Linked DNA regions of Astyanax mexicanus. The protein of the gene in region 1 purifies or fractionates together with the protein of each later gene. This does not show direct contact. Links are inferred from orthologs where the notes say so. Each region holds a gene or a part of one and is shown in the gene's direction. Other genes may lie near its edges. The genes, in order: histone H2AX, wrap53, gon4lb and nap1l1.

What was found.
Region 2: the proteins of histone H2AX (region 1) and wrap53 purify together in Homo sapiens (affinity purification with western blotting; 3 studies listed by BioGRID). This does not show direct contact. The link is inferred for Astyanax mexicanus from reciprocal best matches to the Homo sapiens genes H2AX and WRAP53.
Region 3: the proteins of histone H2AX (region 1) and gon4lb purify together in Homo sapiens (affinity purification with mass spectrometry; 3 studies listed by BioGRID and IntAct, counting the BioPlex papers as one, with this or other methods). This does not show direct contact. The link is inferred for Astyanax mexicanus from reciprocal best matches to the Homo sapiens genes H2AX and GON4L.
Region 4: the proteins of histone H2AX (region 1) and nap1l1 purify together in Homo sapiens (affinity purification with mass spectrometry; 3 studies listed by BioGRID and IntAct, counting the BioPlex papers as one, with this or other methods). This does not show direct contact. The link is inferred for Astyanax mexicanus from reciprocal best matches to the Homo sapiens genes H2AX and NAP1L1.

What each region holds. Positions count from the first base shown.
Region 1 is NC_064408.1:15,369,722-15,374,961, forward strand, and holds histone H2AX, read left to right. Parts: upstream 1-3,981; 5' UTR 3,982-4,077; coding exon 4,078-4,506; 3' UTR 4,507-4,709; downstream 4,710-5,240. UniProt on the Homo sapiens protein: Variant histone H2A which replaces conventional H2A in a subset of nucleosomes. Nucleosomes wrap and compact DNA into chromatin, limiting DNA accessibility to the cellular machineries which require DNA as a template.
Region 2 is NC_064415.1:15,365,659-15,372,729, reverse strand, and holds the start of wrap53 (telomerase Cajal body protein 1), read left to right. Parts: upstream 1-4,043; 5' UTR 4,044-4,260; intron 4,261-6,414; 5' UTR 6,415-6,620; coding exon 6,621-6,891; intron 6,892-7,071. UniProt on the Homo sapiens protein: RNA chaperone that plays a key role in telomere maintenance and RNA localization to Cajal bodies. Specifically recognizes and binds the Cajal body box (CAB box) present in both small Cajal body RNAs (scaRNAs) and telomerase RNA template component (TERC).
Region 3 is NC_064413.1:41,387,064-41,395,003, reverse strand, and holds the start of gon4lb (GON-4-like protein), read left to right. Parts: upstream 1-4,911; 5' UTR 4,912-5,003; intron 5,004-5,795; exon of another isoform or gene 5,796-5,878; intron 5,879-7,807; 5' UTR 7,808-7,820; coding exon 7,821-7,940. Other genes in the region: npr1b (atrial natriuretic peptide receptor 1), read left to right, coding at 298-446; C2 calcium-dependent domain-containing protein 4C-like, read right to left, coding at 3,034-3,231, 4,280-4,798. UniProt on the Homo sapiens protein: Has transcriptional repressor activity, probably as part of a complex with YY1, SIN3A and HDAC1. Required for B cell lymphopoiesis.
Region 4 is NC_064409.1:26,596,964-26,604,028, reverse strand, and holds the start of nap1l1 (nucleosome assembly protein 1-like 1), read left to right. Parts: upstream 1-4,054; 5' UTR 4,055-4,198; exon of another isoform or gene 4,199-4,218; intron 4,219-6,604; 5' UTR 6,605-6,618; coding exon 6,619-6,635; intron 6,636-7,065. UniProt on the Homo sapiens protein: Histone chaperone that plays a role in the nuclear import of H2A-H2B and nucleosome assembly.

The sequences.
Region 1 (5,240 bases):
CTGTCGAAAGAGTTTAGGGGCAGCTAGAGCATTTGGAACAGTTCATTTGGAACAAAAGGAAAATTGTGCTTCTTGAACAACTTTATCCTACAGAGACTTTTGGGACACGCTGGGAATATTTTTGACCCTTTGTGTTCGTTGTACGTAGGTATTTGACGCAAACAGCAGACGCTGCTTTATGAGAGTGAGGTAGATGCCTCACGTTTTGTTTAGTGCTGGAATCGCAAAGAAAAATGGGGGGGGGATAAAGGGATTTATTTGTGTTCTTCTGAAAACACCTTTTGATTGTGTAATGTATAATGTTAAATAAGAGACTTAAAATGGCTGCTTAAGTGGAGGAGAGGAGGTGGGTGAGTTGAGAAATAGTGGTTGAGTAAAATGCTGTAAGACTTGTTCAGCACAAGGGGGCGACATAAACCAATACTTATCAGAAAGCCTCCCGCATTATGTTGCTATTCGTTTGTTTGTTTTGTTTGTTTTTTACTATGATTACTATTTATTTAATTTTCATCAGTTGCACACTTTTGAAACTCTTTTCTGATTGTTTACAGTGGTGGGGAGATCTTCTTCATCAGTTTTATTATTTTTGTGTATTGTTTACTGTCACTGACACTAAATTATTCCTCCTTACCAAACCAAGGAGTCTTCAGTGGGTGAATTATGGTGAGGCTTATGCTGTGTGCTTTGTTGTTTTTGCTGTAGTTGATAGCGAGTTAGATCAACAGATATTTAAGCCCTGTTTTTTTCAAATTGTGGTTCTTCTTTGATTTACATTGTGGCACCTTCTTCTTTTATTATATTCATTTGTTAAAGAAATACACGAGTAGTACGCATATCTCACAGTTACGCTTGAGTGGAACAGAAATGGAAAAATAGACAAATTTAACTCAGATATGTTTATTCTTCTTAAACATTTCTAAAACTGATAATCAACACGTCTTTAAATCATGTCTAGTTAAAGTTACAGTAGGTTGGAAATGTATTTCAGGTTGAAAAAAAAACACCTCAGGGGATATCATGAACGGTTTCCACAAAATTAAATATATAAAATTTTTTCAAGACTACTCGAAGCTCGGACAAGCCCACACTTTATATTTCTTTAATATTTAGCTGCAATAAGATAACTCAGACTACCCTGAATGAATGGGGTCCCCTGCATGCATAGATGAGCAGACCTGAACGTGTAAATAATAGTGCTAACGTTTACGTTTTAAAAGTTTCACCTTCGATTTTGCATAAGAACATAAATAGGTGAAGGACGGCAGCTTAATTCAGCTTCTCATGGCTTTGGCTATTCAAAGGGAAATTATCTGACCACTCAAAGACCACAGCTTGATGGATGGTTCACTGATGTTTCAACATTTTTGCATAATTCAGTTTTAAGGTGTTAATGCTCAGTTGGAGTGGTTTATTGTGATGAGTATTATTCCAGAGAATCTTACTATAAAAAAAAATCCAAAAATAATCTTAACAACTAAATTAATGCATATATAAAAAATATAATATATGTTTAGGCCAAAAGCGTGGTTTAAAAATTGTGATATCTTTTTTATTATGGAGCTTTGAGGGACATTTTGAAAGCCATTCACCACCACTGTGGAAATTTCTCTAGAACAGCATATTTCCCAACAAACAAAATTAAATCATTCAGGTTAATGGGCTCTACGTGTTAAGAAAAACATATTGGGCGATATCAGGAAAACAAAAATACTCAAAGTTATGTCCATATATTATACAATGAGCTGAAAATGTAATTATTGTGAAAGGTCTACTTGGAGGCATTAAATACTTTGGATGCCCAGGTTTATTCACTACAATTATGAACAATTCTGACTCAATAAATTAATATAGAATGATCATTATCAGTTCACACCAAATATCAGTTCACACCAAACCACGCTGACACAGTTTGCTTACATCTTAATGGTAAAATAGGACAAAACATGTAGAAACATCAGTGGAATTCCAGTGTATAAATACAGTGCTGTGGTGTTTGATGGTGAAAGCTGGTTGATTTTGACCTGTAAGCTGTTTGTTTCTTATCCAGGCCAATAAAGTCATCATTGTCTTCTTTTTGACTCCTTAAATGACTTCCTTAAATCTTCCAGACAATGGCTTCAGGCACACACAGTCTATATTGCAGTGCATTCATTATTTTCAGAGGGTTGTTTGTAAATTAGCAATTTTCAGCTGAACATTTACAGGTGGGATCCTCTACTCTTTCTCCAGTCTTTTATCCCTTTTCCCCAAAAAGCCTGGAAAGCCTGAAGACCCCAACATTACACTGCTAGTAGGCCCAGAATGTCATTGTCTATGAAAACAGTGAGCCGCCTAAAGAGAAACAATGCCTCTCAGATATTTGATGCTTTATATTACTATGTGGCTACTTCAATGTTTAATTTATTCTGAATAAATTATTTTTGAAAATGCACTTGTCTCTGGTTTATTTTCTTCCAATCTGCCACTGAAAATAAGTTCTAAGACTTGCCTTGTTAATAAAGGTGTAAAATTTTAAAATAAACAATATATATTGTATTAGTTTGAGCTATCACACTGACATATAGTTCTTTAGTTACTATAAAAAAAAAGTTGCATGGCTGTCCAAAAAAATAGGGAACAGGCCTTCATTCATTATTTTTCTTGCAATAGAGATGGATTGATGTAGTGTAGTGTTGTGTTTAACAATGAATTTCATGTTATACCAGAGTTTGATTTCTTGGCTGAGCTAACACAACACACCAATAAAAGTCTTTAGACGTTATATATGTTTGTTTCTAAAAACTGGTCCTGATAGGAAAAGTATTGATACTAAGCTCTTTTTTATACAGTGCACTAAATATGCATTGTTTTTTTTTTAATATACTTTGTGGTGGAATTTTGACTGCAGTAAAAAATATGCAGAGCAGGAAGTACTACTGCCTCCTCTTTATACCTTTTTTTCTCACTATATCCCCATCCCCCTCTCTCTATCTCTCTGTCCATATACCCCCCTCTTTCTCCCTGTTTCTCTCTCCCCTACCCCCACTTCTCTCATTTACACAGACACACACACAAGCCATTTTGACTTTTTATAAAAAAAATATTTAAAAAAAGTATTTTTACATTAAAGTTTATGGATCTTAGCTTTTGTATTGAACCAAAAAATAAAATAAATATATTTTTAACATTTTATATGACTTATTTAATATATTTGACATATAAGTAAACTTAATATACGGCCTGCTTTTTTGTAATATTCATGTGATGAGGATTGCAGAAAATAAGTATTTTTAAAAGGCCAAGAACATTAATACATATAGACATACATGCATATTAGCTTTTGTATTTAATAAAAAATTGAATAAATATATATCTTATATTAATTGGTTATGTCATATATTTGATATAGTTTAAAGCAGTACATTTTAATGTACATCCTTAATTTTTAATAACCAGATGGTGGCACATTGACTTTGATGTGGGGTTATAAATAATATAAATATGCTTTCTGCTCCTTATTTCTTCATTAAAAAAACATTTTTAAAGTTCAAGAAGTGGATGGATATTAGTATATTAGTTGATATTGAATCTAAAAAAAATCTAATAAATATATAATATATAGGATGAGTTAAACTTAAACCAGATGTTTCTCATCATTCTGAATACTTTTACAATATAAAAATGCCTTTGTTGACTTTCCGCCAAAATACCTCGACTTAAAATTCAGAGGGAATACGTACAATTGGTTTGAATTTTCCGCTCAAAGTTGATGGACAGCGGGAGAGACCAATGGTAGCACAGTTAAACTTCGCCGCCCAACCAGAGTGCAAGATTGAACCGTAACGCTCTGATTGGTGTTTTACTTTGCGCTGATTATGCACAGCGGTTTTCAGCCAATGAGCGAAAACATCCTGTCAGGCTTTGATCACACGAGCCAATCCGTCCGCTCTCGGTGCGAGTTTGACGAATGGGAAGGTAGGGGCGGGCCTAAGCGCCCGTTGAGGCCTGTCCTTAAATACTGCAGCAAGTCCAACCCCACAACCAAACACCGATTTTTTTCTTCTGAAGCTTAAAGAAGTAAGCGAAGAACTTATCAACATGTCTGGAAGAGGAAAGACCGGAGGAAAAGCCCGCGCCAAGTCCAAGACCCGCAGCTCCAGGGCCGGCCTGCAGTTCCCCGTCGGCCGTGTGCACCGTCTTCTGCGGAAGGGTAACTACGCTGAGCGAGTGGGCGCCGGAGCCCCGGTGTATCTGGCCGCTGTGCTCGAGTACCTGACCGCTGAGATCCTGGAGTTGGCCGGAAACGCCGCCCGTGACAACAAGAAGACCCGCATCATCCCCCGCCACCTCCAGCTCGCCGTCCGTAACGACGAGGAGCTGAACAAGCTGCTTGGCCGCGTGACCATCGCTCAGGGGGGCGTCCTGCCCAACATCCAGGCCGTGCTCCTGCCCAAGAAGACCGGCCAGGCCGCCGCGAGCTCCAGCAAGGCGGGAAAGAAGGGGTCCTCACAGTCCCAAGAATATTAACTCAACAGAAATGGCGCGAACTCTGACTTGATAACACCTAAAAAACCAAAGGCCCTTTTAAGGGCCACCCATCTCCTCTGAAAAAGAGCAGATTTCACTCTGACTTTAACCTCCTTTACCTTCTATTTCCATCATCAGTCTTGTGTGGGTGTGTCTGTCTGTGTGCTTTTTATACGGTGAAAATAAACATGTCTAACTTGAAATTATTTGGGGTTTTTTTTCTGGACATCCTTGTAGCCAAAACTTGTTTCATTCATTTTTTGTTTAGCTAGGTTTGCTAACTAGCTAGCTACTGTGCAACGTGCCGTTTGGCGCTAGCTGATAGCATAGCCTCTCTGCTAAACTAGAATCTGAAAGTGTTGTACTGTGACTAAACTAAATGTCTTAATTTGACGCAAGGATCGCTTTAATACAGGCTTAAGTTGGCTAACAAAGCATGTAAATCTGTTATTTAATGATCATCCAGCTCCTTGTACATTAGAAACTGTAAGCTCTCCAACTAGATAACGTTAACCTATAAATTGTAGTGCAAAAGTGGTGAAAAAAACCCATGATTAATTATAAATAAGATCATTAGATTTTAATCTAAATATTAATAACGTTACCGAATTCATTGTGAATCTGCCTGCATGCTGACGCACAGTCTGAAAACTAGTGTAGCTGTAATTTATTGTCTTAATGTAAGTAAGCTCTCAAGTTAGGGACAAGTTGTAAAGCAAAAGTAGTGGGGCAAA
Region 2 (7,071 bases), on another chromosome or scaffold:
GCCTGTCTGGTAATAAATGCATTTTTCTCACTTGTTTTGCATGTCATGTAGACTTTTAAAGGAAAATTCTAACTTTCTGTAAGCTAATCTCTGTCTGCTGCACCTTCATCGTGTTGTTGATTATTGCTTAGTTATGAAAATAGTAAGAATACACAGAGCCATTTTATTTAAATTCCAAAACAAGTAGTAAAAGCTAATGTCTTACATTTCTTTTGAAATAAAAATGCAGGGTCTGTTTTTTTTTTTTTTTTTTTTTTTTTTTTTTTTTTTTTTTTTAAATAAATGGGCCATTATAAATTTTCCTAAGTTATATACTGTTTATATTGACTTCTATTCATAGTTTAGGTTTTTATGGCATTTTAAGGCATATTTATTTTCATATTTTTCACACAACATACAAAACAGTTGCAAGATTCGGATTAATTAGATTAGAGAGAAATTTTACGTTCATTAATTTTTTGCATATCACTATAATTTGGTCGTTTTTTTTTTATACAGAAATTTGATGACTTGAACCAATGGAAATGCTCTGAAATGACTTGGAATTACATTATTTACATTGACTTTAATTGAAATACTAAAAGAAGGTTTTTAATTCCTGTTAAGTAGACATTTGGGAAATAAAAAAAATGCTTGATAGCCATTTTGGAGAACTTCTATTGGTATGTGTATAATTTTTTTTCACACAGTATGCAGACCAGACCAAGTTCCAGATTCAGAACAACATATTCATATTATGTCAACAATTCAATTTTACACTTTTTAGTTTTACTATTGGTGTATTGTCTACACTATAAATAATATCTGCAAGTGAAGATTTCCTAAGGTATGCTTTGCTTTACAGCACCGTTCACTGTTCGCGTATATTAGCACTTTTAATTTTTAATGCATTTTAGAGGAGTTTCTTAAACCACATAAACCACTGTGATCCTCCTTCTTAACCTTTTTATGATGCTGAAATGATGCTAAAACATTTTTGGAATTCCAGTCTGATATTGATTTGTGATGATCCTCTTTCGTTTTAACTGATTACTTGCTCTCTTTTCTTCTTTCTACACCAGTATTCCAGAGATCCAGAGCAGGATGTTGACCAGCTGTTTACCCCTCTCTCACTTAACACACGTGAAGCTGGAGGAGGCTGACCCTAGAGATCATCTCCTTTCCAGAACAGAGCGAAACGACAGTACAGGAAAGAAGCGGGGACCCCTCGTCTCTTTTATCCATGAAACTACGTTTCAAGAACAGCTATTAAATGAAAACCGACAGATGAGTCTCTCTAAAGGTAGCTTTAGCTCCAGGTGACTGAAAGTGGGAGTGGATAAGTGGAAGAGTGGAGCCTCTGGATACTGGAACTACAGAACTATGGCAGTTAAAACCTGTACAGACTAGTAATGCAGCTGTATGCCCCGGCCCTGCTGCATACATGGCCGGGCATGTTCAGCACACACGCTGCATGATCATCAGATACTCAAATCTCACACAACCCTACTTGCATCAACTGCTGTCTTGATTGGTTTGAACTGTATTCAAACACCAACTCGTACACAAAAATACAGATGTATACAAAGACTACATACTCATGGCAAGTTGCTGCCCTGTAAACTGTGTATACATGACTTTTGCTTTTTTCTGTTGGGTGTGGTGATAATTATTCTTTTTTTCTTTCCTCAGACATGCCTTAACTGTACAGACAAGCCTCTACTTAAAGATTGAAAAATTATGTGTTGACCAGGCTTAGCTCAACATTCTTTTACTTCAGTGCTGCCTAAACAGCTCTTTAAAAAATCTTCTAATGAGAAAAATCAAAGCTTTGCTTCTAATCGAGAAGATTAAAAAAAATGAACCATTTGAGCCCTAAATTAAACACATGCAAAGACGTGACTTACTGTAACCTGTTCAGACAAAATCTGACTGAATAGTATGGGACATTGCATTGCACAGTTGCAAAGCCCTATATCCTTTTTTTATTCTGTACTAGAATTAATTAGATAATGCAGTGTAATTAACCCTGGAGTCTGACTTTATTTGGAGACCCTAGTCTGCTTGTACATTTGCGCTGCTCTGTAGGTAAGTGCAGGTTGTGTAACGAGGTTTTGCACTGCATGCAGGTTTTACAGTGTGGCAGTGCTCTTAATAAGAAGTGCATTGTCTTTCTAACGTTACCTGGACTATCTCTACATTTTAGATTCTCTCCAACTCTCTCCAAGTCAGCAGGTCGTAGATGTGACTACAGGGCTCGTAGAAATGCAGTCCCATATTTTTATTGTGGCAAAAGTTTCAAACCAGGCAGTTTAAGACTTGATAATGACAATAGGTTAACTGGGGTGAGTCATCATTACCATTACATGTATTTGCAAGAAAAAGGCTTAGACACAGGTCTAAAATCTGGACTGTATGGTATATTTGTTGACTGTGGGCTTTATTAGAATGTGAACAAAATCTGTTATCTAAGCTAATGCTACTCCAAACACATAATGGTAGTGACTGTAGAAACATCTTACATTTTCCCAAAAACATTTCATGTTATGGATGATTTTCTTTCCCATATTTTGGTTTTATGCAAAGGGCGATGACAAAATCAGTATTGAATCTGAATCTCCTTTCATGCCGCTCATGTCAAGACATTAACAGTAACGGAGATAAGAAAATGTTCATTTGCCTTTTCGTTCTTACCTGTCAGCTTAGCCCTGTAGCTAAACTTTTAAACGAGTCAGATAAAACTTTTCTGAAGTCAATACTGAAAATGTTAGCAACAAAGTAGTAATGTCCTGATTAATCAGCGTGTAAATAGTTTGGGGTTTTGTTTGTTTGAAAAAGAAGACGAATACTAAATAAATGCTTATTATTAAGGATACAGACTTGTGTTGCCTTGTTGTTTTATCATTTACATTTTGTAAACCTTTTTAAAAAAGACTTGATTGATTGATTATGTTAAAAAAATCACCTTCACTAAAGAGCCTTTTTTTAAGACCTTCATCCTGTACCTCAAGGATGAATTATTGATATTTGCAACTAATTAAACAAATTAAAGTGCGACTAAAAAATATTGCCTAGTAATGAGTGTACAATTTTGTGTGCACAGCTCTGGAAAAAAAAAATATAAGACCACTTAAAAATGATTTCTTGAATTTACCAAATTGTCTGGAATATATATAAAATATATAAATCTGGAGTATAATTAAGAGGAAGATTGATGATCACAAGTAGTGTGTAAGACTGGTGGAGGAATACATGCCAAGATGAATGAAAACTGTGATTAAAAAACAGGTTATTCCACCAAATATTGATTTCTAAAAAAAACTTTCTTAAAACTTTATAATATAAAATTATTTGAGATCTGAAAGCTCTGCATCTTTTTGTTATTTTAGCCATTTCTCATTTTCTGAAAATAAATGCTCTTAACAGTATTTTTATTTGGAATGAAAAATTTTTGTCCATAGTTTATAAATTAAAACAACAATGTTTATTTACTATATACCTATAGATGGCAAAATCTGAACCATTTCAGTTTCTGAATCAGTTTTTCTGATGTTGCTATTTTTAGGTATATGTTTGGGGAAAATAAACATTGTTTTCTTTTAATTTTTTTTCCAGAACTGTATAATATGAGATACTTACTTTTGGATTTTCATTAGCTGTAAATGATGAGATGAGATGCAAAAATAAATAGATAAAAATAGATAAAATAAACACTACAATATATACAATATAAATAATTAAAAGTAAAGAACTTTTAAGTTGTTTAGGGGTAATGAAAAAATATGTTACATTGTTACACTGAAACCTTCTATTTTCTGTAATAATCATCAACAATAAAATAAATAAATGGTTAGAATAGATCACTCTGTTGTGTGTAATATATCTATATAACAAATGAGTTTCACATTTTTAATAGAATTACTAAAATAACGTAACTTTTCAATAATATTCAGATTTGGACCCACGATTTGCCTGATTGTGAGCGATGGTCCGCGAGTGACCTCTGGTGGTTGAGTCTGATATTACAGCGCTGTTAAATACTCACAGATCTCGCGATATCTGGCGGTGTTTATATTGCTGATATGGCGGGTCTGTTCGTGTGTAAACACGCAGCACGAGTGTCTGCTGGATTCAGGCCGTAGTGTGTGATTTAAACCCGGGACTCTCTGCTGTTCGTGTTGTTATAGGGACAGGTTCAGCTGTGGGAGCGAGTTTAACTGCTGGCAGCAGAGCTATCCTCAGAAAGTCACGGCTGGAGGAAGCAGCGGAGCAGAACTACAGGTAACAGCCAGGCTGGAGCTAAACTCTGATTAAAAACATTAAACTGCTGCAGTATTTTACTCTGTACAGCGTGCTGATACATTTATACCCACACCCGCCGATAGATAGATAAATAAATACAGCTGCTGAGAGGATAGTCTGAGCTGCTAGTACTGCTGTGACAGTTAACTAGCTAACCTTAGCTAACTAGTTAACCTAACGCTAGCAAGCTAATGTTAAATGGCCTGTAAACATTAGCTAGGCTAATATTCACTGTTCAGCTACCAATTTGACTTAAGCTAACAGCTATAATACTGTATTTGTGCATTAATCTGATTATCTGGGTTATTTACAGTTTTGTCGTAAATCCTATACAGCAAGTTATGAAGCCCCTTATGCTGTCCATACACTACACGACTTTAAAAAAGACTCTGAAAAGACTTTAGGCTAAAGTCTGAAATTCTCTCACATCTAAAGACAAGACACAGACTTTTTACTTACAGGCTACGATTTTGCACAGATTCTCTTTCTAAGATTATTTCCCATCATGCTTCTGGTGGAGTTTTATATACACATAATATATATTAAATATAGACTCACAACTTTTGTCCCCATCAACAGTTTATTTTTCTGTCACACTGTTGGTTCTTAATTGTTTTAATATAATGCATTTTGTGTTCAACTCTGCCTATGAACTTCTGTTCCCATTTTATGCTTAAGTGTTAGATTATTTTGCTTAGTTTAGGGATAATTTTCTTAATCATTCATTTTTTTAAGAGCTTCATCCTGTACCTCAGGGATAAATTATTGATATTTGCAACTAATTCAACTATTTTATTAACTAATTTAAGTGCATAGCCGACTATAATGCCTAGTAATGAGTGTAAAATTTTGTATGCACAGCTCTGGGGAGAAAAAAAAAGAGAACACTTAATGATTTCTTGAATTTACCAAATTGTCTGGAATATATATATATATATATATATATATATATATATATATATATATATAAATCTCTGGAATATAATCAAGAGGAAGATTGATAATCACAAGCAGTGTGTAAGACTGGTGGAGGAGAACATGCCTCTGCCCCTTCTTTTCCCCTTTTATGCTTCAACCTTGTCTAGCAAAGAATCACACTTTCACTGCTATACGTCTTTGTTTTAGGTAGAATTAATGCAAATACCATCCTAAAGAACACCATCCTTGCAAAAATTGTATTTATTGAACTTGTTTGTATCACAAATATCACTGCACAAATAAAATAACTGTGCAAAAAGTGCCACCTGTGTTTAAAATAATGTACATATTAAAGTAAGGCAAATTAACTGCAAAATGTGTTCTTTTTCAAATCGTTTGTAAACAGTCACATAAAATATTCTTGCCCTGCGGCTTCCTGTAGCTCTCCTATTGATTGTTGACATCACTATTTTTGTGAGCCGAGTCTCAAGGCTTACGATAATATTAAACATGGTTGATTTTATCTTAACATCAGGAAGAGAAAAAGACTGACTAACACTTTCATCCCTAACCACCTTACACTGAACCATTGAGATGACGTGACCGCAACTCCACTCTAGCAAGACTCATGATTTTGTCCAGACTCTGGAAATTCGTCTGTGAAAGTGACATCGCTTAAAAATTGTCCAAAAAGGTCAGCATAAGGTGACATCATGTTAAAACTAAATAATTAAGGCATGACCACGATTTATTAAGGTGTGGGAACGAGATAATTAATCATAGCCAAAGAATAGTACAGCTTGTTTTTTTTGTAAATTAATGCTTTATAAGTTGTCCCCTCACTTTCAGACCCTCTGTCCTTTGCAGTGGACATTGTTTTTCCTTCTTTCTTGTGTATTCTTGCACTTAACCAAGACTGAGATCTATTGTCTGTCCGTCAGAATATACATTTATTAGCCAATCAAACAGTAGCTTAGCTCTACCACTTGCATTGAAAAAGAAACTAACTAAAGTAAAGAATGGCAACATCTTACCAGTACTTACCAGAGTTGTTGTTTAATTTAAAACTGGTATCTACTGGTATCTAGTCTTGATACAGTTATGTTTAAAATTTTCAAATAGTTTGAACATCATTGTTTATAGTTTTAGATGTATTTTTTTCCATTTCTACTTTTTTAATAATGCTGTGATTTTCTTTCCTTCTTGTGTCGCCAGGGTCTTGCTTTTGCTGTGATGTTCCCAGTGCCATTAAGAGTACGATCAAACCACCGTCGCAAGAAACATTACCCCAGTAGCACCTACTTGATTTCAATTTGACAGACGGGACGGAGAATTAAACCACTCGTCTTGAAAATCTTTTGCACACGAGCCGTATTGAAGAAAAGCAGCACATATTTTTTAAATAAAAGAAAGTTCTTGATATGTCGGAACCAGGGCAGAGTAGTGAAGGTGGGGGTTTGGGAGCAGCAGGGCAGGAAGCAGAAGCTGATGGAGAGCCTCCTCAAGAAGGTTCACAGAATCTGCCCATCAGTGGAGCTCAGGAGGAGGCAGAGGAGGAGGCGGTACCGCCTGCTGCCAAGCAGCCACGTCTTGCTGAAGGAGTAGGGTTGGACATTTGTCCAACTGATACAGGTGTAGATACCACATTTGATGATGGTGGGAATCAAGGCATTGTTCTGATCACAGACAAAGGTGAGCTTCTTCTGCTGTGTGGTCTTATAATTAGGGATGCACTGATTATTTTTATTTATTTATTTATTTTTGACAGAAACCAAACAAAATGAAGCACTAGGCCAGATTTTTTAATTAATTTTGACTTTGTTTCTTGTTAAATATATTAAATGACCTAAATAGATTTTTCATTTTATAAAA
Region 3 (7,940 bases), on another chromosome or scaffold:
GTCACCCTCATACCAATAAAATAGTTCTAATCAATTACACTGAAGATGTTGTCAGTGGATCCTTTGCGTCCTGTATGTTGTGAGGATCTGTATGTGGGCCAGTGACCCTGTTTTACCGATTGTCTTTCCTTGGCCAGTTTTGTTAGGTACTGACCACTGCATAGAGGGAACAGTTCGAAAGACCTGCCTAATCTAAAAAAAAAAAAAAATTATCACTTCGCTGCCTAGTAGTTGTCATTTTTTTCAGTGCTGTCCTTGTGCATTAATAAGAACCTTTTTCTGGCATTTTTCTGGCAGCTCTGAAGATTCACGTATCCTCAGCATCGCATGACATTCTGCAGGAGTTCAACTGCTTTCAGCTAGAACTGAGAGGAGATGTGGAGATGAAGGGCAAGGGAAAGATGAGGACCTACTGGCTGTTGGGAGAGAGTAAGAGCAGCGAGTGAGCGGAACCAGGTGCTGAGCTGAACCCACACAGTGCACTAGTGGACCACCTGAACACACGTAAAGAACCACTATCACAACTTCCGGGCTTCTGTCCACCTTTGCACACTCCTTCACTTGCATTCCAGAAGGACACATTGGTGGAGTCTGGAGAACTGTGGTTTGTGTGATGATAGAGACATTAGGATATTTGTATGCCATGAACACCCCTCACTGTCATTCTCACTGTTGGTTATAAAGAGCACGAAAAGGAAGGGGAGGCCATGTTTCCAGCTGAAATGTAATCTTGTAAATCATGTAATCCCACTGCTTTAAAATCATGACTAGACTCATGACTCTCTCTCATTAGTCCCATGCTGTAGTAGCTGTGTTTCCCATTTGTTTTAGAGGATGGTGCAAACTAAGATCCACAGAGCATCGTGGCTGTTTGATAAGAGTGTGACTGAAGTTTAAAGTGGCAGCGATTGAACCAGCGTAATGGCCTAATTAAATTTTGTGAAGTAATGGTGAAATAATCATGATTTTCTTCTAACATTAACAGGTACAGAACCTGTGCACAGTCTTTGCACAGTAGATCTTCACCTATGCTGAGCACACATTGCATCTATGTAGCTGTTAAACCTCTTAATGCTAATTCTCATTATGCTATACTGCTGGGGCTGTAAATACTGACTAATGATGCTCTGAACTTGTGGACTCATCCTTAATAACTTAAAAGATGAGTTCCTGTAGATTGGGTGTTTCTAAGAAACCTTCAGATTGAGGCACAATAACATCAAAGATCAAAGGTTATGATAACTCTTAAAGGTCTAAATCTAGAAGGAAAAAGTGCAGCTATATATATTTGTTTGAAGAATCTATCATTTGGAAATATTGAAACGTAGCACAGTGGAAATTCCCTGTGGTTTGATTTTGCCATGTTTGCTATGTCTGTTTTCTATGTTTATTTGAAATGTACACATAACTGTAACTATGGGAGCATTCGGGAGAGTGGGTTAGCAGGATGTTAGATTATATTTCTGTAAAAAATATCTAAAACACTTATGTTGTTTTTGCAAACTGTCATATGATTTTTATATAAAAATGTGAAATGCTGTTCAATTCCACAAATGTATGAGTGATTTTATAACAAATCTGGGGCAAAAAATATCTTTAAATAGGCAAGAAAGGTTACATTCAATGAAGGACACTTTACAGCCTTTGGACAGTAGTACCTTTAAGATTTAATCCATCTGTGACACACACACACACACACACACACACACGGTTAACTACAGTAGTAAAAACACACACCAGGAGAGATGGAGGTTAGGTGCTTTCCTAAAAGGCACCTTGTTGTGGATTTAGATTGCGGTCGTTGAACTCGTTTGTAGTAGGGGTAAGATAATACTAATATCAAAATGTCCCAATACTAAATTGATTGTCAAGAATTATGTGTTGTGTTTTATCTATTAATACAGTTTTCCTATGATTTGAGTTTTAAAAACTGCAATATATTGTTGTTCTTGCATCATCACAGTATATTGCAAAACACTTGAATTCTTTAAACCCCTGTATGACATACATTGTATTGACAGGTACTCAGAAAGAGAATAGTCCCTCTAAATGACACTAGTATCAAACAGACAAATAAAGTGAGTATATTGAGAATTACTATTAAGAAATTATTAATTAAGAAATGTAATAAGCAATCCATGTTGCATTGAGATCAATGTCAGTTCATAACAGAATATTAGCATCAGTGATTAATTATGAGATACAATAAGATGGTGTAATTGCAGGCCCTGTCATTATAGTGGTATGTGTTTTTTATAAGATTGGATACAAAATTAAAATGGGACACAGATTTGTGTTTTGTGTAAATGTATACACATTTTTTACTGAAATATACTATTTTATAATAAATACAATACAATTTATTACACACAACTGCAAACATTTATAAATACATTCTTAAAAACTTGCATCTCTGTGAGTTTTTGATCTCAGTAAAACTCAATGTAAATTTAATTACTTTAGTGTGAATATGGTCACATACAATTTCAAACCTTTACTTGGAGCCATGTGGCAATCAACAGGCCTGAAAACTGTCACTGTTCATGAAATTATGGTTTATTCATTGTCAGAAATATGTGACCAGTGGGAGACTACAGTCAGAATACAATAACACAAGCAATGAAAAAGATAAAAATGATATTTAAGATTAACAGCAGCAAACTGTGTTATCCCACTGGTGACTATTGTTTTTGCATCATATATGAATCACCAAAGGACCATAAAAGGAGTACATATATATATGTATATATATATGTATGTATATATATATATATATATATATATATATATATATATAGTAGGTGCCTCCTTATAATAACATATCACAACCAACAGTAATTCAATGTGTATTTTGATACATGAACTGGTTAACCTTCACTCCAAGTCTCATCATTTAATTTTCCACTCACTATCAGCTCATTCTGCTTTTTCAAGGGCCTTTTTCTTCTTGATGGAGTATATCTCTGTAATTATCAGGGGGACTTCTTTAGTGTGAATGTCATTTCAGGGAAGTTTCTGGAAGTGAATTGGCTCTTATGCTTTGAAGCGGTTCTTCAGGAAATACTTCAGTTTTTCTTTCCTCGTTGAAAAACTGCTGGAACGGTGTGTGCACTTGTGAGGCTTTGAACAGTCACGTGAAGTAGAGAGGTAATTTTCTTGTTGGAGAGATGAAATACAGCATGCTGCTACACTGCAGGACTGCAAGGAAGACTCACTCTTAGATTTCACACACTGTAAGACAAATAACAGAAAGACAAATCCTGTTAAAATATAGTAAAATCAGCAATACTGAATGCACTCTTCTAATAACATTTCCCTTTTTTAATGTTGGTGGATAATAATGAATTAATCATTGTGAAAAGGTTATTACCAATGAGGAAAACAGATTTATGTGTTTATTACTAATTTAATTATTTAATCACTCTGAGGTCACTCTGAGGTGGATATATCAGAACAATACTTTTAAAATGTAGTTTTTTTTTTCTTCTAAACATAAAAGAAAAAAAAATTAAATGTACAACAATTCTATTAGATTTTTAATTCATGTTAGATCCGAGTTGTACATATTGTTTTTGTGTGTGTGTGTGTGTGGGGGGGGGGGGGGTTGGTTTGGTTCAATTCCAATAATGCGAACAATTCTAAACTGTGACATTAAAGTCTCTCTGAGGTGGACATACTATAAATTGGCAGAAAACTATTTATTTTATGTTTAGCTTTTGTAAATATGTAATTTATTTGTATTTTATTAAGCACTAAATAATTACAGCATTTTTATGGATTTTGGAATGAAACAAATATGAACTGACATTAAAAACACTCTGAGGTGGATGTACTATAAATTAGCAGAACATTATTATTCATTTCATGTTTAGTTTTAGTAAATCTAATTTCTTTTTTTGTTTTTTTAAGCATTAAAGAAAAAAAAAACATAAAAAAGTGTAAGTAAGTTCTAGAAACAAACAGTATTTTTCTGACTGACATTAAAGTCAGTCACCCTGAAGTGGATATACCATAAATTGGATTAGCAGGAAAAAATACACATTTATTTATGTATTTATTTATTTTTGTAGATTTGTTTTTTTCATTTGCAATTTTCTTTTTAAGAAATAAATAAGTAATTGTAATAACTTTTTAAACCAAACCGTTTATTGTATGCTATTTTTAATTATTTTATTATTTTTTACAAATGACAAATACTACTCCTGGTGATTAATACCCAGAAACATAATTAACATTAATTAGGCTGTAAATGCAGCTGTTTTCACATCTGGAAACCCACCTGCTGCTGCTGCTGTGAAGCTCCAGGCTGTGTCTGGCTCTCCTGGAAGAACAGCGACTCTCGGCGGCGGACGCAGGGGCTCTCCCCCAGGGTGATGAAGCCGTACGGAGTGGTGATTTTGGCCAGGTGGGGCAGAGACATCGCGGCTCTGGTGCCCGGGTCTGACAGAGCGCATGAGTGAGGCTCCAGGTCCGTGAGGCTGAGCGCTGAGAACGGGCAGCAGCAGCGGCTGTTATACCGGAGAGAGTGAGCTGAGGCCGGCAGCGTGTTGCGCCGAGAGCCGCCCCCCGCAGAGCAGCGCCCGGGCCGAGTCACCGCGCACAGCGGCGGGATGGTGAAGGGAGGCACGCGGGCTGGAGTCAGCACCATCTCCCGCAGTGAAACGTGCCGCGAAGCGACCGGCTGGGCGTCCTGGAGACCTGGAGGAGCCTGGAGGGACTTCTCTCGTTTAGCAGCTGCTGAACTCCCCGCGCAGGGAGCCACCAGAACTGCGGGTCTGCAGATGCTCAGTCCGGGCATGTCCAGATGTTGGATGGAGGTGCTTCTTTCCAGCTGTTGTGTTCTGTAGCTCTATGAAACTAGGCACTGCACTCATTTGAGAACTTAATCAAGGACTCTACGCACTTAACAAAAGTCCCACCAGCACTGATGAAGCTCAAGTACATCTTTGCTGGTGACGCACATAAACAAGTTCCACCCACCACAACTGGACTCCGCCCGTAAGGTGAGCAATATGCTTTGTCTACTGTAATAGGAAAGGGCCCAGCCAGCTTTCTCATATGGGGCTCACATGGATAAAATGTGACCTAGGTGGGTTTCAAGTGTGATTGTACACTGTACAAACTGGGCCCGGAGTCTGGAGGAAGAGTGGAGAGACACGCACAGCCCAAGCTGCTTGAGGTCTAGTATGAAGTTTCCACAAAAAGAGATGGTTTGGAGAGCCATGTCATATCAAGTCCAAAGTCAGCACATCGTTTTCCCAGAAATTTTTACAACACTTCATGCTTCCCTCTGCTGACAACTTTTATGGAGATGCAGAATTCATTTTCCAGCAGGACTTGGCACACTGCTCACACTGCCAAAAGTACCAATTGAATATTAATTTTCTGAAACACTGATTTTTGCATTTTCTTTGGCTGTCAGCCATAATCATCAACAATAAAAGAAATAATGGCTAATAAAATAGATGACTTTGTGTCTAATACATTTATATAAAATATGAGTTTCACATTTTCAACTGAATTACTGAAATAAAGTAATTTTTAAATTATATTATTTTTTAGATGCACTAGTAGCTGTAACATGCTATATTTAACATGCTGTAGCATATAGCTATTATTGCTGTATGCAATAAAATGTTTTTTTCACGTCTGAGCTAAGATTGACTAAGATTCATATGTTTAATTAATTTATATTAATGTATTACACAGACAGGTCTAGAGATTCAGAGTCTGATTACGCCGTCGGGCTGTAGGGGGCGGTAGCTGTTGACTACAGGGTTTTTGCTCGGTATCACCCGCGAAACGTCAGTTTGTTGTGGACCGGCTGGCTAGTGCGTTAGCTGGCTAGCTACTGATGGCTACATATAGCTGTTTCAGGGTAAGCGCTTTATTTATTGTGAATTAAATAGAGACAGATCAATAAAAGCACTTAATTGTCAGCAAGTGACATGATTTACTGGGCACAGATATGTAGAAAGACGTATATAGACGGGTTAATGTCTAGTTAGCTGGCTAAGCTAACTAGCTCTGTTGTTAGCCATATAGCTGAATGCGGCTAAAGTATTGTGTTGTGGTTTACCGGGGACTGCAGTTAGTTAGCTAGTTAGCTCGCTAGCACATAGTGGAGCTGTGGAGATAGTAAGCTAGCTAACACCAATACCTACAGCTTAGGTCGTTAAATTAGAAGGAAAGTATAGCTAAGCTAGCTACTAGTTTAGCTACAAGACATTCTCTGTGTCTACTATTTAGTGTCTCACTGTGTTAGGATATAATTACCGTAGGTTATATCATTAGCTGGACGATGTAGCGGACAGTTTTTGTGCTTTTTCTGTTAGCTAGCTAGAGCTAATTGACCTTTATTCGCTGGGTAGCTAACTTAGCTTAGCTGTAAATGTTTCTGGCTAAGGTAGGGTGTAGCTAGCTGCTCTTCCAGCAAGCATATTGACTCCCAGCATATCAGCACTTTATCCCAACTTTCTAGCTAGCTTTGTAAAATGCATTCTATATACAGATTAGGAACTCTAGCTCTATCTGGAGTGTTTACATTGGGTAGGCTGGTGCAAAAATGGGCAATGACATTTCTAAGTTATTTAGTTACATGTCCAAATGGCATCCATTGCTGACACAGATATGCACAGTGGACACACTCGACAAATTTCTAGTCCTTGTAAATAAGTAGCTGTTGCCTAAAGAATAGGACTCTGCTTGGAGGATATAGGTTTGGGCCAAAGGGGTACAGTATATAACCCCCAGCACTGAGCTGTGGTGCAGGGGAACTGTATTCCCTGAAATAGTTGTGCTCTGTTCAGCATTTCTGGGATATGTTGGTAATTATCCTAACTCCCCTACAGCTCTTGTCATTACATGCAATGAAATAAGCACTGCAGTGTTCTAAATTGGTGCAAACTTGGGCAATAAGATGCCTTAACTAACTATCTGTCAAAATTGCACCCATTGCTGACACAACTTGTCCAGTCTCTGTAGCAGAGTTCATACAGGTGCTTGAAATCCTTGAAAATGCTTGAATTGTAATGTTGTTTTTTCCAGGTCTAAAAAGTGCTGGAATTTTGGATAAAGTGCTTGGAAACGCTAGAAATCATTGCTGTGTGTCTTTTGCAGCAAACAGCTATTTGACTAAATACTCTCCTGCTGCACCTCGCTCGCATTTCCATGTGTGATAATTTGGAAGAAGTGAACTAATATAGCTAATCATTTTTCCACTTTATTATGTAAAATGATGTATATGGATATATAACTGGTTAAGGATATAATGTATAATGTATACATTATATATGTAATGTATATAATTGTTCATAGGGGCTTATTGATGTATAGCAAATAATTTATTATGAGTATGTATGTATTTGCATAAATACGTTTAATTTACCTCAGATAAAATGGAAGATAGGCCATGATTTAAAAAAGCCCATCTTTTATTTTATCCCCCACTTATTATTACTTTTTGTTAATTAAGTAAAATAGTTATTGTTTTTTACATTTTAGATTTTTTATTCATTTAATTAATGTAGTTGTTTGGGTTTGCTTATTAAGAATACACATATGTAACAGAAGCCTGCAGTAAATAAAATTAATGTGTGTATTTTCCAGTCAAGCCACATGATTTCTGTTCTGTTCTGTTCTGTGTTATAAATATGTCACTAATGTTGGAAAATCTGTTTTTTACATTTCTCTTCCACATCTTTATGGTTTTAAATAGTTCCTCAACTAATAAATATATCCATTTTAGTCTCCACCAGAATGTTTGAAATATGCAAATGCAACTTTGTAATTCTCTGTTTCATATTAGCTCCAGAAGCGAGATGAAAACGGGCCGAGGACGCAGGTCCAGCTCCCCAGATCCTCTAGCAGTTCCGTCGAAAATTGTCCGGAGGGATTCTGCCTCTGGATCCCATGGTGTCTGCAGACTGACAAGCAGTCCA
Region 4 (7,065 bases), on another chromosome or scaffold:
TCCCCCTTCGTTTAATGTAAATATTATCAGTTAAAGCCAAATGGGAGGAATATAGGAATGAGTTACTTAACGTTTTTCTACACAAATGCTTTAGACACTGTCGTCATATCACATGTGTCTTTTATCTGTTTTGTGTGTGCGTGTTTTAGAGGTTTGAATGTGGTCACACCAGTAATAACTTCAGATTTATCATTAATGTGCCTTTTTAGAGTGGCTATGGTTGGCGGGGTTCTTGGGAGAGACTGGGTGGGGCTATGCCATGGGTGGGACTTAGAAGGGGCATGTGATGGGTGGAGCCTGCTTTAAGTTTTTTTCCACTTTTATTAATTTTGGTTGTTTTTCACTACTGCGTGAGTGACTGTGCCATAATCAGCCTTAGAGACGCGTTTTAACCCACCGACCACAGAGTGTGCGTGTGTGTGTGTGTGTGTCCTGTTGTCACTTGGACAGTGTGCGCTGCATCTCTCTGTTCTACACGGTTAATGATGATGTATTTGTATTTAAGGATTAACTTCCTGTATGTTAATCACCTGTAACACCAATTAATAATCAATAAACAGTGACAACCATCCATCTCATTCTTCTGTCAGTGACAACATCGTGATTGGGTTAGACTGCATTTGGTGTATCAGTTTGGGTATAAAAGATTAGACTGGGTTGGGTTGCATTGTGTATATAAAAGTAAAATTAGTTGGGCTGGATTGGGTGTACAGTTAGGTCCAGAAATATTTGGAAATTGAAACAAGCTCCCTTATTTGGGCTCTGCATGTCACCTTATTAGATTTAAAATTAAACAAATGAGATGCAACTGTAGACTTTCATTCAAGGGGTTAAACAAAAATTAGCTAATTAAATTTACCATAAATACAATGTTAATTTTTAACATTTTGTTAAGAATCCTTTGCAGGCAAAGACCACTGGAAGTCTGGAACATATGGACATCACCAAACACTGGGTTTACCTTTTAATATGCTTTGCCAGGCCTTTACTTCAGCTGTTTTCAGTTGTTGGTTTGTGGATCTTTCTGCCTTTAGTTTTTATTAATCAAATGAAATGCTGCTCTGTCAGGTTCAGACAACCATCTCTCATCACTGTGAGATACTGGAGCATCTTTATCAGATACGGTGTGTGTGTGTGTGTGTGTGTGTGTGTGTGTGTGTGTGTGTGTGTGTGTGTGTGTGTGTGTGTGTGAGAGAGAAAAACTGATAGATGAAAAAAGGGGTAATGATCTCTCATTCTCTGTAGGTTAATGGCCCCTAAGTTCTGTAGTAGGAGAGAGAGAGAGAGAGAGTGTGTGTGTGTGTGTGTGTGTGTCAGACTGCTGTAATGCAGAGTTAATCCGAGTGCTGAATGAGAGTGACACTGCAGCAACTTTTTCAGTTTGGAACATAAAGACCCTGCTGATACAGCACTCACACTCACTCGCACATTCACTCATATACACTCTCCTAGCTCCATCAGTTCATTTATAAGTTGATTTACATAAAAATAAATAAAAGTAATAATACATAAAGAGAAATAAATTACACTTTAAGTTACCACTTTAGTACATAAGCTTTATATACAGTGGTATGATTTTCCTTTATAAATCATTAGTTGTTTGGATCAGTAATTTCAGTGAAACATATGTAGCAGATGAATACAGTGAAATTTGAGAAGTAAAAGAAGTTTATACGATTTACAGAAAGTGTGCAATAATTAAACAAAATTAGACAGATGCATACATTTGGGCACCCAAACAGAAAAAATACATCATGATTTAGTATATTGCAGAAATAACAGCTTCTAAACACTTCCTATAGCTTTCAATAAGAGTCTGGCTTCTTGTTGAAGGTATTTTGGGTCATTCTTCTTTACAAAACATCTTCAGTTCTGTCAGGTTTGATGGTTTCTGAGCATAAACAGCACACTTTAAATCACACCACATATTTTCAATATTATTCAGGTGGTTTGGGGACTGAGATAGCCATTCCAGAATATTGTACTGTTCATCTTAAACATTGTTCTGAAAAATCTGCTGATATTTTCTGAAATCCATGCGTTCCTCAACTTTACCAAGATTCCCAGTACCTGCACTAGTCACACAGCCCCAAAGTAAACCTGGCTTGTCCAAATGTGCTTTTGCATACCTCAAGTGACTACATACAGCCTCACCCTGTACAAAGTGTGCTGAATAGTTGAATGATGCACAGCGGTTGTAGGTATTTGGAGCTGGTCTGTGGGTTGACCATGAATGTTTCTATTTTCTCTGCTAATGTGAACACGAGTGGGGGGGTAGCGGTAGTCAAGCCATAGAGTATCTTTAGAGTAGCCATCTTAGCTAGTTAGTTAATATGCTACCGTGGGTATCCTGGTCTTACAAGAGTGTACACTTGCATGATTAGCTGGACTGTATTTGGCATTTAATGGTCATTTATTTTATGTATGATTTGATATTATTATTGACACTTTACAAAAGAGTGTTTCTTCGTTATTTGCCTGCACAGATAGTTCAGTGAAGCCTGTAAAGACAGTTAGACAATCTACAAGGTATTTTTCTAGTCTGTAAATTATAAACTAGCTTGCAAACACACAAGTTTTTCAATACAGCAAACAAAGGCAATTACCTACCTTCCACGTCGTGCACATAACCCTCAATCCAGTTACTGTAGCCTTTTAGTAAAACAGACAATTTTTCGACTGCTTTCATCATTAATTTAGGGAGGTTAGTTTTCCATGCAGGTGCTGCCATTTAAACTGGTGGATATTCTTGGAATTTCCATTTTAAGAGTGGGTTTAAGGGTTATCTTAAAAATTATGGTAGAGTTATTTTAGAGTTGATCCTGGGGTTAAGTTAGAGGATATAATATTGGGGATCATTATTATTACTGCACCCAGTTATAGCACCACCTTTCTAATGTTTATGGTCAGTGTGTGTATATATCTATGTAAAAGTCTAACTTAAAGTGCAGAAACTGTATACTGACTTGTATTTATCTAAATCTAATATGAGGAGTAAAACAGAAAAACTCTTGTTCAGTAGTATATTTTACACCTTTGCTCAAGTGGAGTCTCGTAAACAGAAGTGAAAAAAAGAATTGGTGCTAAAATACAGCTAATAATAAAAAAATGCAATATATCTTTAAAACATTCTGAAAGTTTGGCACAGGTCAATTTATTAGTTTGTTTCTAAACAATAAAATAGTCTTAAGGAGATGTTTTACAGTTTGGTTGTGGTCAGATGTTGGTTCCCCGTGTTTGAAGCAGTGGAGGAGAAACCTCACATGAGTCAAAGTGAAAACAATACAGTAGAGTTTTAGTACATTAAGTAGTAATCTGGATTTCATTTACATGCTAAATTATACCTACAAACCTGTAAACTGGTTTTATTTTGCCTTTACGTTTACTATTAGGCCAGAAACCATCAACACAAACCATTTTATCAGCCTGTTCTTTAACCTTCAAGTAAAACATTTACTACATAACCCACATTTCATAACTACAACTCACATGACCCATATAGCACAACAAAATCAATGCAATTATCTTATATTCTATTTATTATTCTTACTTGACAGCGTATTTTACTTTAGCCTCAACGTGTGACATGTGGTCAGCTACTCACCACAAACATTATTCTCCTGAAGTAAGTGTAGTCCTTGACTACCTGTGGCTTTCTACAGCGGGCGGGGTTTATGTAAATATAGGGGGTGTGGTTACAATGAATTAAGACTGGTATGTAGTTTTATATATTCAGTGTAGAGACTAGCTACAATGTTTCAGATTATTGGCCTTTTTATAAGCTTAAATCTTAATATACAGTGATAAAGTGTTATTTCTCCAACATTTGATTCCTCTGAGTGAGTATTTGAGTAATTTACCCCTGACTATCAGTCTGAAATGGCATTACTTTCTGTCTCATAGTTCAGAAAACCCCATTTTTAACAACTTTCTCCTCAGAAACAACATGGCGGGAAAGGCGGGAACATCGACCGGTCGCCTCCCCCATTGGCTCGGCGTTACCCCGGTGACTGCCGCCCTGCGTGATGACGCTATATGAGCGCGCGCGGCGGGAGCGCGCTCCCTTTTTTACCGCCATCAGAGCGGCGCGAGAGAGACACGCAGATCCAGCAGGCTGAGGCAGAGTCTCCGAGTCCCGGCCTCACAGTCCCGCCTCAGACCGCTTCATCTCCGCCTACAGAGTCTCCCGCACCCGCCGGTACACCGGATCAGCAGCAGGTGAGCTCGCCGTGGCTCACTGAACTGCGTGTTCTCTCGATGGCAGCCGCGGGGGAATGTGTTTGATGGTGATGCTAAGCTAACGAAGCGCGGCCCACACGCGGGCGGGGAGAGGCGGCTGTATCGCGGAAAGTAAGGGAATGAGTTCCCGCGGGTGTAAGATACGGGTTAGATGTTGTGTTAGTGAGGCGGGCTGTGGGCATTTATGGCTGTGTCGCCTGTCTGGTTGTTCCTCCCCCCGTTTCTTGTCCTTCCCGCGGCGACCGGGCGCGGTGTTGGAGCTGAGGAGAGTAACAGAGCTGAAAATCTTTATTTTACCTCAGACACACCGCGGGGTCGCTGCTTTAATCTGCTCCTCCACATCACTCACAATAACTCCCCTGCTGCTCGTAGGGCCGACAAGGAGCTGTAAAACACCCCCCAACCGGAGAAATGTAGGTCCACAGTGGCAGGTACCGGCAGTTCTCGCTGTTGGTTTTAATCCGTCCCCCCTCCGGGTTAAGGGGTTAGCCTCAGTGCTAACGGGCTCATCCGGGGAAACACGTGGAGCCGCGGCCGGTCTTGGCGAGGGGGCAGCGGTTGCTCTCACTCTTTGGAGGTGGTGGTGATGGGGAAATTAGAGCTGCTAAGAGTTAAAGTAGTAATAAAGTAATGACGGTTATAGTCCAGTCATAAAACGTTGCCCTGCTTTTTGCCAGTTAGGCCCACTAATGCCCATGCGGTCCAAAATAGTGTGGTAGCTACTGTGTCTGAGTGGGCTGCTGTGAGGTCATCTGTATTACTGTTTAATTTTAAATCTGTAGCTACATGTTTGAAAGAGAAACATTTTCGTTTTGAATGGAGTGTATTTGTGAGGTCACAGAAAACAAGCTGGGCTTTTGTGCTGCAGTTCTGCTCTGATCCATCACAGCTTTTTAAATGTAGGCAGCAACTAATCTCATTTGCATATCTGTGGTAAAAGGAGGGTTTTCACTCACTACGGTCTTAATACATAGGTCTGGATTCTATGATTATGATTTAGTCTGAGTTTAGTTTTGTAATGTGTTCCATGTATTACCAGTGTAAAATAAGCATAGGCTTTGCTTTAGTCTCAGAATGTAAGCAAAACATTCTACCCAAATATAATGATGGATTCTTTGGTAATGTTTAGTGGTGGTGGGGGCGTTAAAGATGTCCACGTGGCCTGGCTTGGTTCTGTGGAGGCTAAAGGGGAAGAACTCAGTAAAGTTCAGTGAATAGAGCTGTGTTGCTTTTAGATCTTATGCAGTGTCAGTTTGTCTATCAAGATCCCAACAGCAGCTCCTAAACCTAAGGTCTCAGCTTTTGGTGTTCAGGTTTAACATATTTACAGTTTATTATTTAGTTTATTTGCTGTGAGAAATAAGTATAACTAATATAGCTTATACAAATAACAGTTTCAGAGTATGCCAACTCTGACGAAGACAAGTAAGAAATAAGATCCACAACAGGTTATTACTATGAGTAACTGTTTTCTAAAACTTGCAGTAAAAGGCAGAAATGTAATTTAAGGTCCTCTACCTTTGGTCTGGCATGTTAGTTATGGAGAAGGTGCAGATAATTCTGGTGCTTATTTTTTTTCTGGATTTGTTTTGCCATTCAACAATGACATTTAAACAGGATTCAGATATTAAACTGCAGTAATAACGTTCACCTCTCAGATTTATAGTTAAGTGTGTAAGGAGACCTGGAGGGCAAGTATCATGTATTGTCTGTGTGCCTCTGTCTGTGTGCCTCTGTCTGTGTGCCTCTGTCTGTGTGCCTCTGTCTGTGTGCCTCTGTCTGTGTGCCTCTGTCTGTGTGCCTCTGTCTGTGTGCCTCTGTCTGTGTGCCTCTGTCTGTGTGCCTTGCCGCTGGTGGATTTTGCAAAGTTCAGCTCTTAAAAACTCTTTCAGTAGAATGACGTTATTATAGCGCTCCACAAAAGAGCCTGGCCTGTGATGGGACCCCTCCACTATAGATTACAGCTTACTCATCTGAAAAAACACAATACAAAAGGTCCTCACTGGCTGCTTTGACATTGGTCAAAGATGGATGAAGATGCATCCCCCCCCACACACGTAGTGCAGTAGATTGTTTACATTTTCTGCGATTATATAAAAATATAAAAATCATTTGAATGTCTCCCTTCTTATTGGTAAGAGTGCTGATATGCCAGCTTAAACCTGTCCAGTACAGCTGATAGTTGAATTTATTCAAGGTCTTATTGTTTTCTTATTGCAATCACAACCGATCTAGAAGTAGTTTGGGAACGGACTGAAAGCGCACCTAATGTCGCCTAATTGCTGCCCAGAGTGACTAGTCTCTTTAAACACTTACTGTCTGTCATGTCTGATCCAAAATCTTTTTTCTCTCTCTCTCTCCTCAGGAATAAAAACAGACATGGCCGATCTCGACAAGTAAGTACCGCTTCTTTCTATTCCCAGCATGCCTCAGCTTAGAGCTGCACGTCAGGATATTGTAAATAATTTATCATAGATGCTAAATAAATCATAATGGATACTAAATTGACAGTAGGTACTGAAAAAGGCACAGCAGGTAATGAGGGGTGGGTGCCAGGGTGATATTTGGTGGGTATTGGGTAGTTCCTTTATCAATGTGAAGTTAGTGCCAAAGCTTATTTGCCCACCTCTGTTGTGCATCTGCCTCGCAGCCAGGCCCTGTCCACCTGCTGCTAACCCAAAAACACACACGGGTGTGAGTGTGAGAATCCTAGAAGAAAACTGTTGGAGAAGCATATCAGAGACAAGAATACACCAGAAAGAAAGTAAAAATAGATTGCAGTGAAGATAAAAGCAGTATATTAAAATAAACCAGGACTGATGGAAA